Saccharomyces cerevisiae S288C: one gene and its partner. Each later gene encodes a partner of the first gene's protein in a complex. Each region holds a gene or a part of one and is shown in the gene's direction. Other genes may lie near its edges.

The links.
Region 2: TIM12 (region 1) and TIM54 share a complex: the UniProt entries of both Saccharomyces cerevisiae proteins name them as parts of the TIM22 complex.

Annotation. Positions count from the first base shown.
Region 1 is NC_001134.8:426,548-429,504, reverse strand, and holds TIM12 (Tim12p), read left to right. Parts: upstream 1-2,020; coding exon 2,021-2,350; downstream 2,351-2,957. Other genes in the region: acid phosphatase PHO3, read left to right, coding at 404-1,807; YBR090C (uncharacterized protein), read left to right, coding at 2,447-2,631. UniProt on the Saccharomyces cerevisiae protein: Essential component of the TIM22 complex, a complex that mediates the import and insertion of multi-pass transmembrane proteins into the mitochondrial inner membrane.
Region 2 is NC_001142.9:332,371-336,201, forward strand, and holds TIM54 (Tim22-complex subunit TIM54), read left to right. Parts: upstream 1-1,894; coding exon 1,895-3,331; downstream 3,332-3,831. Other genes in the region: ZAP1 (Zap1p), read right to left, coding at 1-703; LOG1 (Log1p), read left to right, coding at 987-1,724; retromer subunit PEP8, read left to right, coding at 3,528-3,831. UniProt on the Saccharomyces cerevisiae protein: Essential component of the TIM22 complex, a complex that mediates the import and insertion of multi-pass transmembrane proteins into the mitochondrial inner membrane.

The DNA of each region.
Region 1 (2,957 bases):
AAATTTTTTATCTAAATTTTGCCGAAAGATTAAAATCTGCAGAGATATCCGAAACAGGTAAATGGATGTTTCAATCCCTGTAGTCAGTCAGGAACCCATATTATATTACAGTATTAGTCGCCGCTTAGGCACGCCTTTAATTAGCAAAATCAAACCTTAAGTGCATATGCCGTATAAGGGAAACTCAAAGAACTGGCATCGCAAAAATGAAAAAAAGGAAGAGTGAAAAAAAAAAAATTCAAAAGAAATTTACTAAATAATACCAGTTTGGGAAATAGTAAACAGCTTTGAGTAGTCCTATGCAACATATATAAGTGCTTAAATTTGCTGGATGGAAGTCAATTATGCCTTGATTATCATAAAAAAAATACTACAGTAAAGAAAGGGCCATTCCAAATTACCTATGTTTAAGTCTGTTGTTTATTCGGTTCTAGCCGCTGCTTTAGTTAATGCAGGTACAATTCCCCTCGGAGAGTTAGCCGATGTTGCCAAAATTGGCACTCAGGAAGACATATTCCCATTCCTGGGTGGTGCCGGGCCATACTTCTCTTTCCCTGGCGACTATGGTATTTCTCGTGACTTGCCTGAAGGTTGTGAAATGAAACAATTGCAAATGCTTGCCAGACATGGTGAAAGATACCCAACTTACAGTAAAGGTGCTACCATCATGAAAACATGGTATAAGTTGAGCAATTACACACGTCAATTCAACGGCTCATTGTCATTCTTGAACGATGATTACGAGTTTTTCATCCGTGATGACGATGATTTGGAAATGGAAACCACTTTTGCCAACTCAGACAATGTTTTGAATCCATACACTGGTGAGATGGATGCTAAGAGACATGCTCGTGAGTTTTTAGCGCAATATGGCTACATGTTCGAAAATCAAACCAGTTTCCCAATTTTCGCCGCTAGTTCTGAAAGGGTTCATGACACTGCTCAATATTTCATTGATGGTTTAGGTGACCAATTCAACATCTCCTTGCAGACTGTCAGTGAAGCCATGTCCGCCGGCGCAAACACTTTGAGTGCTGGTAATGCGTGCCCAGGATGGGATGAAGATGCTAACGATGACATTTTGGACAAATACGATACCACATACTTGGATGACATTGCCAAGAGATTAAACAAAGAAAACAAGGGTTTGAATTTGACCTCAAAGGACGCCAACACTTTGTTTGCATGGTGTGCATACGAATTGAACGCTAGAGGCTACAGTGATGTTTGTGATATCTTCACCGAAGATGAATTGGTACGTTACTCATACGGCCAGGACCTGGTATCGTTTTACCAGGATGGACCAGGTTATGATATGATCAGATCCGTCGGTGCCAACTTGTTTAACGCTACTTTGAAGTTGTTAAAGCAAAGTGAAACTCAAGACTTAAAAGTCTGGTTGAGTTTTACCCACGATACCGATATCCTAAACTATTTGACCACCGCTGGTATAATTGACGACAAAAACAACTTAACTGCCGAATACGTTCCATTCATGGGCAACACCTTCCATAAGTCCTGGTACGTTCCTCAAGGTGCTCGTGTCTACACCGAAAAATTCCAATGTTCTAACGACACCTACGTCAGATACGTCATTAACGATGCTGTCGTTCCAATTGAAACCTGTTCCACCGGCCCAGGGTTCTCTTGTGAAATCAATGATTTCTACGACTATGCTGAAAAGAGAGTAGCTGGTACTGACTTCCTAAAGGTCTGTAACGTCAGCAGTGTCAGTAACGTCACCGAATTGACCTTCTACTGGGACTGGAATACTACTCACTACAACGATACCCTATTAAAACAATAAATTGTATAAATAAATAATATTGCAAATATAAATAAATACCCATCGATTCTGATCTTCTTTTATGTACTAGTAGGGTAACGAGTTTGTAGATTAGCGGCAGAATGAAAAGAAAAAAGTTAACTAAAAAGTAAGAACAGCAAAGTTGATTGTAGTCTATATTGCTGAAATAGATATCGGAGCTCCCGTATAATATTAAAGTGCACCAAGAAAAGGATGTCGTTCTTTTTAAATAGTCTAAGGGGCAACCAGGAGGTCTCGCAAGAGAAGCTAGACGTTGCAGGAGTGCAATTCGATGCGATGTGCTCGACTTTCAACAATATTCTCAGTACGTGTCTTGAGAAATGTATTCCGCATGAGGGCTTTGGTGAGCCTGATCTAACGAAAGGTGAGCAATGCTGCATAGACAGATGTGTGGCAAAGATGCATTACAGCAATCGCCTCATTGGAGGATTTGTACAAACACGAGGTTTCGGGCCAGAGAATCAGCTACGACATTATTCGCGATTTGTGGCCAAAGAAATAGCTGATGATTCCAAAAAATAGCTGTAAATATGAGGACTGTCTGTGCTGTTTGTATATAATAGTAACCTGCATATATAGCATTATAAGCTGTGTAGACAATTTTAGAAGTACATTTATATGGTACCCGCACCTGGGTCACGTGCATTCCCCTCACCCGTTTTTTTAGGTGGTGTCTTTTTTGTTTTTTTTTTTAGGTGGCGCGGCAACTATAAAGTACAGCAAGTGAGGTTGAGGCAATACTGGGAGTTTACACTATGGGAGACAGCTCCTAACACCAAGCAGAAAAACGACTTTTTCGCAAAGTATGTAAGGCGCTGGGTGAGCCCAGCGGACGAGGATGGGCTTAATAAGAACGTACAGTTTAGCACAGCTAGAACAGGATACAGCTAAGGGCAACTCTGCTTTTCGGGAGAAGTTAAAGAGGGGTAGACAATGATGGTAATCTTATAAACCGGCTACAATGAAGGTTGTAGCAGCAAGGAAGATGATATTTTAATACGGTTCAGGTGAAATGAAATAGCCGCCCATAACGGCATGCTCAAGTTGTAAGTCAGGACTCTAGCTTTCTACTGTAGTATCCTCTAAAGGACTGCTGTTCTGTGCACCCCCTTCCTTTGTTTATCATAGC
Region 2 (3,831 bases), on another chromosome or scaffold:
CAACATCATTGCCGTTCTCAGATATGTCTTTCTTTGTCGGTTGATCAGATTCACCTTGTTTTATATTAGCCTCACTTTTGGGATGAGTTTCGTCACAACATATTTCCAAAATCTTGGGCGTACAATAACAATCATCGGATCCAGGTGGTGGGTTCGGTTTATTTTTCTTGGAAGAGGGCAGCAGTATCAGATCGTCGTTAAACCAAGAATCTTTTCTACGTGGTAGGTCGCTTTTAGAATTCTGTTGGGGACTTGTCGGATCAGAAGCTACCGAATGGAAATTGTTTGCAAAAGAATGATTATTAGAATTATACGTTGCAGTATCATTATATTTTGTTAATGACGGATTATTGTGATAATTCAAGAACTCGAAATGTTGGCAGTCGGTGTACTCCTTGCATTTCTCATTGACGTGGCAATCACCACCCATATCATGGCTAGCTCCAGATGCAAATGCGGAAGTAGCGGCATCAGCAACAGCTGCGGCTGCAGGTGTTGCCGAAGCACTACTGTCGTTCACAGGCGCGCTGTGGTGAAGGTGACCATGGATATAGGTCAGGTTGTTGTAGTTATGGATGTGCCCGTGGACAATGCCTTCTTTACCTATCGTCAGAGCATCAGGCTTGGCAGAAGCAGCAGTGGCCGCACTCGTGGCCATCGAGTCATCGCGCTTGGGGGAGTCCCTGGGAGTCAACGCATCCATTAGTTCCTATCCTTCTTCTATTTAAAAAACCGTAACACATAAAAAGTAAAAGTGTAATGCTTCCGTCTCGCCGCTGGCCTATATTCACAGTGACTGCAGTTGCATCTTATATTGCCAAGCACGTTTCATCATGACCTTTAGGGTAGATGACTGCTGTCAACTACTCCGTCTGCAGTGATATATAATCATGTTTTGGGCGTTTAAGGAAGGAGAATTATTTCCAACAGTTGAATAGGAAGATCCCTAGAGTAAATCGCAGGCAATCCAGTACTAAGAAACGGCGATGACAATGGAAAAAAATGGAGGTAATAGCAGCCGTGGTGGCCAAGTAGGCGGCAAGTCTGTGTGTGTTTACTGCGGGTCTTCATTTGGCGCTAAGGCGCTATACTCAGAAAGTGCAGAAGAATTAGGAGCCCTTTTCCATAAGCTGGGATGGAAATTGGTATACGGTGGAGGCACTACTGGTTTGATGGGCAAGATAGCAAGGTCTACGATGGGACCTGATTTAAGCGGACAGGTTCACGGTATCATTCCAAATGCACTTGTGTCTAAGGAAAGGACAGACGAGGATAAAGAAGATGTTAATAAAGCATTGTTGGAGTCTGTAGAAAATCATAAGGGCGCCACTCCTATTTCTGAAGAGTATGGGGAAACAACGATTGTACCAGATATGCATACGAGAAAAAGAATGATGGCAAATTTGAGTGACGCGTTTGTTGCTATGCCTGGTGGATACGGGACTTTTGAAGAAATCATGGAATGTATCACGTGGTCGCAACTGGGGATTCATAATAAACCAATTATCTTGTTCAATATCGATGGGTTCTATGACAAATTATTGGAGTTCCTCAAACACTCTATTCAAGAACGGTTCATCAGTGTGAAGAATGGTGAAATCATTCAAGTTGCCTCCACTCCGCAGGAAGTTGTTGATAAAATAGAGAAGTACGTCGTTCCAGAGGGCCGTTTCAATTTGAATTGGAGCGACGAAGGTCACGCTCACGAGGATTGTGCTAAATAATAGAAACGTAAGTCATGTATCTAGTTTAAACGATCTGTATAGATAATGTGGTGAAAAATCCAAATTTTTAGGAGCTGTCTTTCTAAGCCCGAAGGCTGGAAAAAATAGTACTGATGGCAAAGACATCATAGCTTTAAAGTCCATTGTTCTCAAAAGAAGCTCAATAGACCATGTCTTCTGAATCAGGAAAGCCTATTGCTAAGCCTATTAGGAAGCCTGGCTATACCAATCCGGCTTTAAAAGCCCTTGGTATACCCGCCTTGAGGCTGCCTTCTCGAAACTGGATGATCTTTTGGTCTGTGTTAACAGTATCCATCGGTGGCATAGCCTATGACAAATACAAGCAACGTCAGATTCTGAGCCATGCAACAGACTTGGTGAAGCCTTTGGCAGAGGAGTCCATGGAGGTAGACAAAGTGCCACGAAAGATCACTGTTTTTATTGCACCTCCTCCAAATGATTATCTGGAGAGTTCGTTGAAAGTTTGGAGACGATATGTTAAGCCTGTACTGTATTATGCAGGGTTGGACTATGAATTAGTTCAAGAGGATAGGCAAGGGATTATTAGAACTAATGTAGCCAACAGAATCAGAGAATTGAGAAAGGAAATATTGGCATCGACGGATGGGCAGCCAGTTAAAGAGCCTAACCAAACGGTAGCAAAACCAAGTGGTTCTTCAACCAGTAAAATTTCATCACTACTACCGTTCAATAAAATCATTCAAGATCCTGCTGAAGAAGATGACTCGTTTGATCCAGAAATCGGTAAAAAGTTCAAGGAGAACTTCGACTGGAGAAACGTTATAGGTATCTTCTATACAATGCCAAAACCGAAGCATATAATAAGTGAAGACGCCCTGACAAAGGACCCTATATTATCTGGTGGTGTTATTTGTTTAGGTAGAGGCGCCTATAAGGAGTACATTGCCGGTATTCACGAAGGCTTGCTTGGACCCATCGAGAAGACCGAAAAAACAGGATCCACTGAGCCTAAGATGACTGGGGTTGTAGAAGCAAATCAAATAGAATCAAAGGTAAGTGAATCCGGTGCTACGGAACTGGTGGATGCCGAGAAAGAGACTGCTTTGGAAGAGGCCAAAGTACAAGATGATCTAAAGGTTGATGAAGAAAACAGCTCAGAGGATTCGCAAAAATTTTTGAAGCCATTTATTTCTTCAGACCAATACCCTGACCTGCAAATCGCTTCGGAATTACAAACTCCAAATGGCGAATTCATAAGAAACCCCAATACAAATATCCCGCTTCTGATTAATCAGCCGTTATTGGTCATTCCAATACCTAACTTGATAGGTTTTACTACCATTCCAAGGAGAATACATCGTTTTTACCAGAAGCGTTTCTACGTAGAGGACGTGTGTTCAAGTGTAGTTAACTGTGTTCGACAAACCCGTATAAGACCGTTTGATATTGCAAAGGATATTGATTTGGCGAAGGACGAAGAAAAAGATTGGCCACAGAACTGGGTCAAACAGGGTAAAGAAAAGAACAGCGAATGGACCCAAGAATTAGTATGTGATCCTAGAATCACGAAGCATATGTTTGTTTACGAAAAACCACCCAAGGAAGAGCCAGAATCAGATATTTAATTGGATATATATTATGTTTTATCATCATGCACGATCGACGTTATGTCTGACATATACCAAACCCTTTTCGAAGATTTCCCTTTACTCATGTTGAAATAGTTTTTATATATGCACACATATACATATATATAAAATCTGTAAATATAATAAAATGTGTACATTGTAAAAGAATCCAAGCACAACTATTATTAGCATTATGAGTATTTTTTTCAAGCCGCCGATTGATATTGAGATCCTTTTCGATAATGAGGAATCTCGCAAACACGTAGACATTGCAACAAGATCAAGTAATTCCAGTTACAAATCAATGAAGGAAAGCTTGCCCGTCTATGAAGATGGCGAATCCCTTGGTGGAATTGTTACTTTGAGAGTTCGGGATAGTAAAAAGGTAGACCACTTGGGCATAAAAGTGTCCGTTATTGGATCCATTGATATGTTAAAATCTCATGGGAGCGGTAATTCATCTTCTAAAAAAGTTACCTCTAGCACATCATCTTCCT